2 linked regions of the Oryzias latipes genome follow. The protein of the gene in region 1 interacts with the protein of each later gene in a biochemical or structural test. Links are inferred from orthologs where the notes say so. Each region holds a gene or a part of one and is shown on either strand. Other genes may lie near its edges.

Region 1 (5,968 bases):
TTATTTCTCACCTCAATGATTCTTATCACAGCTTCGGGATCTTGTTTTCTCTTTTTCTGAAAGAAAAAAATATGATCAGCTTTTTCCCCCCCTTTTAATTTATAACTCAAATGAATGAATAAAGGCAGATTCTTACCCCAGCATGATCACAAACAAATGTGTGACTGTCGCCTGACATGTCAGACCTAAAAAGGAAAAAAGGTTCCCAAAGAAAAATAAAATTATTCAATCAAAAAGATTTAAAATAATCTAAAAGATCTCATTTCACCCTAAATTAGTTTGTGATTATACAACAAGAAACTGGTTCACTGATGATGCAGCAAGTATAGACTAAAAAAATAAATAAAATTACCCAAAAAACTCAAGTCACCCTGTTTTATCAATTAACAGATGGAACACAGAAGGAAAAAAAGTTGATCGTACCAGGAAGTCCTCGATTCATCAGTCGCCTCCACTTCCATGTTAGTTTCTTCAAAGCATCTTCACAATATCACTGGACATTTTGAACACGAGTGGCAATAATCCAGATTTGAGGTAGTTTCTGTGCAGGCCCGAACGCAACCTGTTTGCATTCGGGGTGTTAAAAGCTCAACACACTCCTTCCTCTTCACTTTCTTCCTCATCTTACAGCTTACCACATCCTTTAGGGGTTGCACAGAACTCGCATATCCGCTCTTCTCAGGGAGGAGTGCTCAAGCTTCACGCTAAGCTCATCACCGAAATCTCATTTCTCCTCCAAATGTTCACAAAAATTTGTTGTGGAAAAATTGTAAATTGCTGAAGTGAAATAATATTTGACGTAGAGTGTCATATTAGACTGTGGTTACCAACTGATCTAGTTTTAGAAAACTTAAATATCACATAACCTACAGACATTTTTTCCACAGTAAATAGTCAACCAGTCTTTTAGCTGGTGAAGCTTATTTCCTGCATGTGATGCTCCACTTCACTGCTGAGCAGCATAAACCAGACTAGACTCAATAACCAAAGCAGACAACACACATAATTAAAATCAACGTCACACATTTTTACTGAATCAACTGAAAAGAAAAGACAGACACACAGGCGAGTTTTTCCATGTTTATTCACTATAACACTAAGTGCTCCCATTCAAGATACATCTCAACGCTTCGCTCTTAGATTTAATTAATTTTGGAGTTAACAAAGTAGAAAGACAGTTTGATGATCTACCAACTGTGTGCCAAAACTCCTTCCAAACACCCCCCCCTCCCAGAAAATAAAATAAAATGGAACAAAACACATGACATGGAGAGCATCAAGAGAAAACTATTGTGGTGTGCAGCAGCCTGAAGAAAGCCAGAGTGCTGAAACGAGGCTTTGAGGGTGCTTCAAAGTGAAGGAAGGGAAGGAAATTCATCAGTTTGATGCTGTAATTCCATTTCCAGTTGAGGAACAAAAAATAAAGGGAGAATTGGGTTTTTACGTTGTTGAATAGCCTTGATTTAAAAAAAAAAAATCATGTATTAAAAAGTAACAGTATGAGGGGACAGATCTATTAGAAATGGGCTCCAGAAGAGAGGAGAGCAAGCAGGGTGTGTTTGAAAGCTCTGCTTCAGAATGATAGTTAGGTGTTATTGTACATACAGACTAGTTGGGCTTTGCAATGAGGGCACCGAGGCTTTTGAAGTTTAAAGGTTCTACTACAGAAAAACATTAGGATGTCCAATTTACATGCTCCCTCCCTCTCTCCAACAAATCTCCTCTTCCCACAGTCAAGCACAGAGTGGAACTGTAACACACAGACAGGTATCCTTCTGTCAGCTTACTGGGGCTATGTACAGTCAGGCACAGGTTTAAACAAACCACGGGCCTAAAAAAGGAAACCAATTGATCCAATAGAGCCGATCTGGATCAATCCACCCACCCTTTGTCACACCACTATTTCCCCACTAAGAACACCCCCATTCCTTGCATCCCCCCCTAGCAACTACCACCCTCCTGTGGGTGGTCTCCGGGTGAGGCTCAGCGAATGGTGTATCTGACGTAGGGCACTTCCACATCTTCATCTGAAGTATCGTTACAGCAGAGCTCGAACACCAGAGCTTTAACGTGCTTGCCCAGCTTCTTTTTGGACACCTTGGTCACAATCTCAGTCATCCTGCAGAAATCAGAACAGGAAAAACTCAGTTTGTGGAAGGAAAACGTAAAGAGGCTGGACTCTCGCGTATGCAGTTACTTACGGTAGGTCAAGCCTCTCTTTAAGCTTGGCAGCGGGCATGAAAAATGAATAGAGCATGGACACTCCCTGAGAAAGCATGGTGATCTCCAGCTGATGCTCGTTCTGCCAAACAGGGGAGAAAAAACAAAGTTACTCATTGCAAAAACAAAAAAAGTTGGAGAAGAAGCACCTAAATTTGCTGAACATACTTTAAAGTAATCCAGAAACTGGCGGAGTGTCATCTCTTCACCGTTGGCCTGCATTCCTGTTACTTCAAAGCGATCCCACAGACTCCATTCAGTTTCATAGTACTGGAAATAAATGAAAAATAAAGTTACAGCTACTGTAGGTAAAAAAAATAGACATCACACAGAGCTGCAACAATGCTATAAGCGCATATTTGGTAAACACGTCTCCTCAGCACACACTGATCACACCAGTGTGAGAAGGTGAGTTGAACTCACTTGCATCCAGTCAGAGTTAATGCAGCTGACTGATGCATCAGTATTAGCATGGCTGAATCATCACAGGAGCCAGAAGCAGACTAAAACTTTATCACTGTGTCACAATCGTCACACGTTTTATAATCTTTACAAACTTGTGGGATAAAACAGCAACACCTCACCTTATGTTTTGGAGCAGCAATGGGCTCAGAGTAGGCAAAGAAAGGCAGGGCTAAGTTCATGAAACCATTCTTGTACGTCTCAAGCTTCTTGTGTCCTTGCACGACCTTGATGAGCTCCAGGCAGACCAGGCCAACAACTGCAGCGGTGGTGGTGGCAATGGCAGGAATGATCTTGCCGGCAATCAGTTTGCTCTGGAAAGAACAGTAAACCAAAAGAGAAATTCACAATCGATCAGCTAATGAACGGAGGTTAAACAATGAATGAAAAACACTCACTTTGGTTTGCTTAACATTTCTAATTTATAAAAAACATACAGACCAAGTTTGAGGACGTTTTATATGTCACAATCACTCCTTCCAAGGTTAATTGGTTACTCTAAATTGTCTCTCACATAAGTGTGAATGTGAGAGTGCATGGGTGTGATTGGGGCCCTGCGACAGACTGGCGACCTGTCCAGAATGTCCCCAGCCTTCACCCGCAAGTGGCGGGATAGGCTCTGGCATCGCCGTGACCACAAAAGGGAATAAACAAATTAGAAGATGACCGAATGACTCCTCCCTTCACCAGTCCAGAAAAATTCAGACAGATACATTATTGAAAGAGAAAGAACAGGGGAAAAAAACTTAAAGTATTTCTGCCCAGAGGTTTTGCTATGCGAGAATCAAAAAAACAAAAAGACGCCCTTGTTAGTTGGCCAAATGAGGTCATGTGAATGTTTAGCCCACCTTGTGTCTGTCTGCAGGCGGAATGTCATAGTTCTCTGCTCTAAGGTTGGATGCGGCCACAATAAAGTCCATGTGGAAGTTGGTGTCATCATCCTGGAGGGGCAGAAATAAAACCATTTTTAAAACATTTCTTCTCGGGTGATCCATGTTCTTCCTACACTACAAAATAAATGAGGCTGTAGCAAGTAAAAGGGGGTAATTTAGTGATAAATAGAATGACATTTTCTAAATACAAACACACAACGGGGTTCATTTGCATAGAGAATCACGTTATTACGACATACAAACTAATAATGACATTCACGTTTCATTCATCTAGTAAATCGATTTTTACTTCTACGTTCCTGTATTATTTTGATGACAACAAAAAAATATACAGAATTACTTTTTACATTTTTTTTTAGAAATGACAAACATTTGTAACATGACGATCAAAGAAAGACTGATTATGTCTGACGTGAAAGAAATTGAGTACCTTTTCAAACTCGATGGGGTTTAATTTGAACTGGAAAGACTCTGGTGACGGCAATTTGGTTTTTAGTTCTTCCAGTTTAGAGTCATCTGCATTAAAGAGATCCATGTCACAATAGGCCTTCAGCAAAGACAATTATACACAAACATTTCTGAAAGATTTTCAATGCTGTCTTGTGCATAAATACGGTCTTACCAACAGAAGAGTTGCTCGATTGCAGCTCCTGGTCTGAGACGTGAATTTTAACCCCAGAACGGGGGGTAAAAGTGGGCACCTTGACCTCTTGCAAAATCTTGACCAGTCCTGCACGGTCGGTGCTACCTGGCAGACCATACATCTGCGCAAACAGGTTAGCAGCTGCCAAAACATAATCCATGTGCAAGTCCTGGAGACAAAGGCTAAATGTTAATAATTTGAATCTTTTTTTGAGGAGGAATACTTTTGAAGACGGTGAAAAGCGCATATTTACATTGCTAGTGCTGAATTCTAGGGGATGAGGACACCTCTTTGGGCCAGACCAGAAAGGTGCACCTGAGCTGGTGAGCTGCAAGACAAATATCTTCTTTAGACATATGGGACTCAAGATACATCTGAAAAAGTTTAGGAGCTCAATGTTTAGATTGGGTGCAACTTCATGAAGTAAAATGTAAACAGAAAAACAAGAAAATATAAAAAGAAGTCCCTGTAAAAGCATTTCCAGATATTTTTTCAGTCCGATTATGCGGTTTTTAGACAAAAATCAAGAAAACGGTTGTTTTCTAGGGCAGTTTCTGCAGAGCGGCAGGAGTTCAGTAGAAATTCACCTCTAAGCTGCGGACAGGGCTGTTGACGCGGAGTGAGCCTGACTCATTTCCCATCAACCCTTTGTTTACACCCTCTCCTGCTAGCTTACAACCTCTCACAACCCCAACCTAACATTACCAGTGCAACAAAATGGGGGCGCTTTATTAAGTCAGACTTTATTTATCCTCATTGAAATGTATTCACAACTCAAGTCCTTTCATTGATGACATATGTAATTCTGCCACAGAATGGTTAAAGATCTAGGGTCCAGATTGTTGTTTGCCTTTTATTTTAATTTATGCTGAAAGTTGTTTTTAATATTTTTTTATATATGTATAAATTTTTGTTTTCTTTTGTTCTTTGTTTTTGTGAAAAGCAGTGCCTTGCATCATTGTGTGGTTGTGTCTCCAAGAGTTTTGTAATGGTTATATTTTAATTAAAAAAAATAAAAAAATGTGGGCGCTTTTTAGAGCTATCCAGCCATACAGTTTTGCGCCAGACGCCAGCTGAGGAAAATGAGGACATTTGTCTGCATCAGAATGGGAGGGAACTTGTGGCCTGCCGACTGTATTTTGTATGGAACAACTGCGAGCTTTTTCAAATAGCAATTGTTAATCTGCTCATGATTCACTACAATTTAAATAAGGAAAAACTCAGGAATGCAGTTTTAAGCTTAATTTTCTTCATATACGTCCTTCACCATGACAAACATGCTACAAGAACACGTTAAACAACAACACAATTTTCATTTGGATGGCTGTGGTTTAAATAGGACATGAAAATATCAAGACAAAAAAAACCTCATAGTGTAGAAATGTTCTTCCATTTCCTACCATCTGTGAATAAAATTAAAAGTGCCCACAACAGGGGCGTTTACCTGATCAGGGGGGAAGTTGTGCAATAGCTGACGGATGTTGTTGCTGTACTGGCACTGCCAGTGGTTGCGCGCCCAAGCTACGCAGTCAGCCCAGCTGTGTGGACAGTCTGTGACAACGCACTTGTAAACTGCATCCAGTACTTCCAGTGGCTGAGCCCCAGGAAGCTTCAGTGTACGCTCCATGAACTTAGGATCTCTGCAGGAATCAGAAAAAACAAATACATGAAGTATTGAATTCCATAAAACATTCTTAAACTAAATAATGCTTTGCTCCCCCCCCCATTCTTTATAGTTTAATACATCAGA
Region 2 (5,968 bases), on another chromosome or scaffold:
AAACTGAAGCGGACTAGACTGTGCCACAGTTACAAAGCGAGTCACAGGGATTCTGTAATGTCCGACCAAGACTGGAATGAAAGCAAGAAGTAGAAAAAGCAGCTAGTCCTTCTTTGCTTTTCTGTGTCTTCATCCTAAAGCCTTCCCAGCACACCGCCGGTCACATGCATGTTTGTTCGTGGGCTGAAGTGTTCAGACAAGCCATTCTGACTGATGTGAATTCATTAGGTCTATTGTTACAGACCATTACAGCCAGTGACATCCACATAGACCTGCTGATGTTTGGTCTGACCCCGCTGTGGGTAAATCTGTGCCGGGAATGTCAAACACAGCTCAGATGGATGCATGAGGAGCAGCAAGTCATGACCGTGTCAATAGACTCGCTTTCCCTGCAGGTGAAGGCATTAATCACAGTAGCAGTATTTGATGATTTGATGGTTTTCCCTCGCCTGACGGGAGAGTTGTGCTGTCCAGTGTCTGCATTGGGTAGAGAAACGGGGAACTGCGGGAGGTAGAGCTCAGTCTGTCCCACTGGTTCTCTGGCAGGTCCCAGGACTTCTGCTGTGAAAGCTGCAGCTGCTCCATGCGCACCGCTCTGCTCCCGCCGACAGCCAACAGCAACCCCAGCGCCGAGGACCACAAGGCCCAGGAGCTGGCTCAGCAGATCAACTTCAAGGTTCAAACGGCCGTAGCTTGAAAGGCAGTTCATCATTTTACGCTCCTCTGCATCCATGTCAATGAAGCAATGACGCACGTTTTCAGGCTGAATCCAGCTCGCCCCCTCAGGCCAGTGCGAGCGGACCTGCAGGCGGCGAGGAGCTGTCGGCACTCCCCCAGCAGGACACGTCCTCACCCGCTGGCCAGGAAGCGGCTGAGACGCCGCAGGCTGAACAGGTGGGTGTCCGGCTGCTGCCGAGGCCGCTCACGGCTGCAGCCTTTATTTTGGAGGACGTAAGAGGTAGAGTTGCCAAAGGCAATTATGTCGTCTGCTTGTCAGCTTTAGTTCCTGACTTTAATCAACCAGTCAGACATCAGCTCCGCCTCCAGCAGCAGATGCAATTTAGAGGTTTGAAGTGAGTTTTTTTTCCCTCATCAGCAGCTCCTCCAGCATGTGTGAGCTGCGTTGCCTAAGAGGATTGATTTTGGTGCCAGATGCTGTTCACACAGAGACTGAAGCAGCAGAGACGAGGGTCAACTTAGATTACTGCTTCTGCGCTTGGATCAACTGAAAAGGCCAGAATGGGAGCAACCATCTGCTGCTGCAGACTGGGTGGCCCACTTTTTACCCACAGAGCTCCTCACCGGTTTTTCCATTAGTTTAGAAATATTAAATATTTGCAACCAACCTTCCACAAAGTGAAACCTCATAGGCCTATGCAAATGTCATCATCCACTGAACAGAGTATCAGCAGGTGACTCAGAGAAATTGAAGACGTCTCTGTGCATCAGGGACAAAGACTATTATTGGATGCCCATCATCAGCAAGGCTGATTCAGTGACATTACTGCAGGGGAGCTGTGGAATTAACACTAAAATGTGCAGAATATCCATCTCCAAATAATTCCTTCAATTGGTCTTAACTTTTTAGTTTCATAATTTAATCATCTTCAGTCTGACGATAGAAGAGCTGATGTTCCAGGACATCTTTACGTCATAGTTTAACTCTCACCACCTAGCTAAAGTGATAATCCTGCCCCTGTTAGCCCTCCAAGTCTCAATGCATTGCCTAAAGCTACATTCACAGCGAATGCGATTTGTGTCAGTGGCGTCCAGTTTTAATGTTATGTCACCTTACAGACGTGATCAGAGGTCCTACAGCGCAATTTGAGCGCTACGCACAGGAATCTGGCCAGCAGGTTTTGCGCGGTGAAACAACACGACACAGCGGCTAATACATTGTTTCACGTTTCGAGTTCAAATTTCGAAACTTTGTCAAAGAATTCCCATCGCATTCATTCCAACCAGGACTCCGCTTTGGCCTGTGTCATGTTCAGTGGGTGGAGTCCAAAACCAACATGGAGGAGAGTCTGATTCTTCTTCTCCTTAACTTTATGATATTTTTCTAATTTGCATCCTCTAATTTTATTCTTATTAGTCTTTTTCGCTCCTGGGTCTAAAGCGGGACAGCAATTCATCAAACTGGGTCACAGAGAGACAATAGAGCTGCTAAAAACGCCGTCATTCAGGCATAGTAGTAGAGGATGACCTCGCCGTACCGGGACAGTCTCTGATCTCTCACCTGCATCCGTTTCCATGTAGGAAAGAGGCTAAAAGTTCTAGGCGGTAGCTCCTCCCACACAGTGTTCATACACCAGCAGGTGTATGAACACATTTTTGGACTGTAAATATTAATCGTATCAATATTTCTCTATGCTATTTGCTCTGCCTGAAAACTCTATTTCAATTAAGCTGCAATACAGTCCAGAAACAAGACTTTTAATAGAATAAATTTTTTTTTACAATAATCAAATTAAATTAAATAAAAGACTAAAAGGCTACTAAAACTCGATCGGGGAAGTTTTACAAGTCTTTAGCTTTTGGGCCTTTTTGTAAACTAGAAGTTATACATTCTAGCAACAAAATAAGTGTAATAACTAGTGTCCAATAGGGGGCAGTAGTTAGTGCAGCGGAAAACAGCGGAAAAAACATCAAAGACTGTTAGTTATGGAAACTGTTTGTGTCTGTTTGTAATTTCTTCTGGATTAAGAAAAGATTTTAGCTAACGTTTCCTGTGCAGAAGAATCGCTAAACATCATGATGTAATTGTTACTCCAGATCATCTCCAACATGATTGGTGGACGTCAGTCACTGCATTCTGTTTGTCCTGTTTTCAGGCAGAGGGACCAGAGGAACCAGAGGAACCCCAGCCCCCTGCCCCTGTGGACTCCATCGATTCTGTCCGGCAGCGCCGCTCCCCGCAGCAGCCCGGCTCGAGAGACAGCATTCAGGTGGCGGCCAGCAGGGTGGCGTCCGTCCCGGCGCCCCGCCAGCCTCTGGACCAAAGCCACGCCGGCTCTGCCGTCCTCATCCTGGTGCTCACACTGGCTCTGGCGGCCCTCATCTTCCGCAGGATCTACCTTGCCAACGAGTACAACTTCAACTACGAGTTGTGACCACGACCCCATCCTCCTCAATTCAGACTCAGAGGTCAGCTGGAGTGGAAGCAGAGCTGAGGCAGCAGCTGACTTTCTGCCCTCGCTGCTCAGCCAACAGGAAACCTCCTCCGGGGGGGGGGGCACTGCACATCACAGCACCTCCTTTTAATCAGTGTGAATTTGAACCCCCCTCCTTAGAACAGGAGGCTTGTTGTTTAGGATTCAGCTCAGCGTCTCCCACTTGTAACTGCGGTGCACCCCGCGGCTGCTTTCGTTCCCATTATTTAATTACAATTGTAATATGTCAGAACATGGAATTATGGGAAATTTCCTCAGACACAGCCAGAGAATCCTCCGAAGGCCACGAGTTAAGCTCCTGTCCAGTTTTAATGGGGCCAACAAACGGCAGAAGCGTTTTCCATCCGTCACCTGGAGTGAACGTGCTGCATTAGTTTTAGTTTCTTTAAGGTGGGGGGGCTCTTTCAGAATAAATGCATTCGTTTTAAATGGTGTGAAGCTTTTAAATCAGCGGGGCGGCTCTTTAATGGAGCGAGCAGCAGCTCTTCCTCACTGCCTGAGCACCGCCTGCCTCTGTGATCGTGTTGGCGTGGAGGGGTGTCCCTGCAGGGGGGGGGGTTCACGCTGCAAACCAGCCAGCAGCAGAGAACTCCCAGATTGTAATTTCTGGACCATTTAATCCGTCATACTTTCAATCTTTAGTGGTGGTTCATCAGCAGCAGCAGTTCTCACTCTTCATTTTTGTTTAAAGGCACCCCGTTGTTCTTTACCCCTTCATAGCGCCCCCCAAAGGCTGACAGGGAGGGTTCAGCTTTCACATTTTCTACATCAGAGTTCCAGGTTGACATGAACGCAGCTCTGAGGTTCCACTTGTGCGGCCTTTGATGCTTCATGCCTGATGGTCGTCTCTGCAACCTGCTGCTGAGCTGCACAGCCTTCAGTCACATTTAGGAAACAGGAAGAAGATAAGGGGCTTTGCTCGTCACTCAGCAGCCGCTCCCATGTTCATCTGCTTTGTCAGACGAAGAACCCTAAAGACAAACGTTTAGTCAAACCCGCCAGGTCAAGACTAAACACAGTAAATCCTTCTTTTCAGACTTTCTTGGAATTCATAATTGGGTCTTATTGTTTAATAAAGTTATTTAAAGTTTTAAATGTGTCTGTTTTCTGTCTATATTTAGCAACCATATATTTATACTCATTTGAACCGCAGTCCCAACTACGTTGGCAGAAAATACAATCTGATTTTTCATCGTAGACACAGTTATTTACAAGAGTGAGATTATGGTTCAAACCTTAAAGTTATTTTCCTAATCGTCGATAAGTAAAGGAAATTCAACAGAGGAAGCTGATGATATCTGCAGAGGAAAAGGATGGAGACTCACATGTTTGTGGAAACATCAAATAAAGGAAACCTGGTTCATCCAAATGCCACAAAGACAAAACTGGAATAAATGCTACATTTGCTAAATGAATTTTATTAATGCTATTAAAAAATATATATATATTTTTAATAATAGGACAAAAAATTAATGACTGTAGTGGAAAAATAGCAAGAGAAAAATGTGTACAATCCCTGAAACTGGCCAAATATTAACCAAAGAAAACCAATAAAAAAGGTAATCAACAAAACTAAAGTTTGTCTTTTTCATAAACAGGCTAATTCTTAGTCTGATTACAGTGCGGCAAAAAGGTATGTAAACACACAAACACACTGTGATTCTCCCACTTAGAAATCATGGAGACGTCTGACATTTTCATTTAAGCTGCATTTCCACTGTGAGAGACATCATCTAGAAAAATAATCTGGAAATCACATTGTATGATTTTTATATAATTTATTTGTATTCAACATTAAGGAATAAAAGCACAATATACATATTTTTTAGTGTTCCAAAGATTTACAATTCATGGTGAAATAGCTGAAGAATGTGTGTGAAGCAGAACAAAAACAAGAGCAAAGCCTCAGCTGGAACACAACATAACAATATGAGCCGAACCTAAATGTTGAGGAGCTTTTGCTTTCATAACTGTGCTGACACTGTAACAAATGCAGCCAAAGCAGCTTTTTCTGCAGATTCCTGGACCATGAAAACTCTTCTTGATTTTATAAGATAACATTTTTGTGGCAAATCCAGTCTTTTAGGGAAAAACCTGAGGTTTTCTGGTACAGGGCTGTGGTTGTCCTCAAAAAGAGTAGGGATTTCGTTTGTTTTGAAAACTTTCATGATAAAAATCTGTTTGCCTGTCTACAACTCACTTTGGTCTACTTCACACAAAAGGACTTATTTTTGCAGATAATCAAAGTTCTTCCATGTTTTCTCTCTCAAACATTTGACTGCAATGGTTGTTCTTTTCTTCTCTGCTCTCATTGACGTCACTTCTTCCTCTCAGCTCAGCACTGTCCATCCTCATTAAAGGGCTTGAATAAAATCCTAAAACAGTGTTTGTGTGTTGGACCGATCCCTCTCATCCACTTGTGATTAACTTGTTGGAATTGTATCTTTTTTCTGCATCAGCTCTGATGGGTTTGCCGGAAATGTTATTTGCGGCGCTGAACAAGGCGGCGGCTGACAGACCTGCAGCTGCATGTGTCTGCTGCAGGTTTTTCTTTGTTTTTTTGGGAAGTGCTTTTTCCATGGACACTGTAATCCTGTTAATTTGACTCCTAGTGTTCTCACCGTTTCCCTCAGCATTAATCTCTTGTTTGGTTTGCATCCTCTGAAGCTGCCTTCAAACAGGCTTCCCCCCCCCCTACTGCTTGTATAAATAGACCTAAGCACTGTCAAGCGTTTACCCTCTTTGATATACTTGCAGCAGGGCTTTATCAGTCTGATGAGACTCGGAGGAACAGG

What was found.
Region 2: the proteins of uba1 (region 1) and ube2j1 form a complex in vitro, tested with the Homo sapiens proteins (2 studies listed by BioGRID, with this or other methods). The link is inferred for Oryzias latipes from reciprocal best matches to the Homo sapiens genes UBA1 and UBE2J1.

Annotation. Positions count from the first base shown.
Region 1 is NC_019865.2:13,788,852-13,794,819, reverse strand, and holds the end of uba1 (ubiquitin-like modifier-activating enzyme 1), read right to left. Parts: intron 5,859-5,968; coding exon 5,663-5,858; intron 4,547-5,662; coding exon 4,472-4,546; intron 4,388-4,471; coding exon 4,198-4,387; intron 4,092-4,197; coding exon 4,006-4,091; intron 3,624-4,005; coding exon 3,531-3,623; intron 2,997-3,530; coding exon 2,805-2,996; intron 2,713-2,804; exon of another isoform or gene 2,592-2,712; intron 2,491-2,591; coding exon 2,389-2,490; intron 2,303-2,388; coding exon 2,202-2,302; intron 2,120-2,201; coding exon 1,984-2,119; 3' UTR 1,067-1,983; downstream 1-1,066. Other genes in the region: rho guanine nucleotide exchange factor 3, read right to left, coding at 12-56, 137-185, 424-461. UniProt on the Homo sapiens protein: Catalyzes the first step in ubiquitin conjugation to mark cellular proteins for degradation through the ubiquitin-proteasome system.
Region 2 is NC_019882.2:20,274,900-20,280,867, forward strand, and holds the end of ube2j1 (ubiquitin-conjugating enzyme E2 J1), read left to right. Parts: intron 1-546; coding exon 547-676; intron 677-762; coding exon 763-894; intron 895-2,834; coding exon 2,835-3,113; 3' UTR 3,114-4,268; downstream 4,269-5,968. UniProt on the Homo sapiens protein: Catalyzes the covalent attachment of ubiquitin to other proteins. Functions in the selective degradation of misfolded membrane proteins from the endoplasmic reticulum (ERAD) and is essential for cells to recover from ER stress.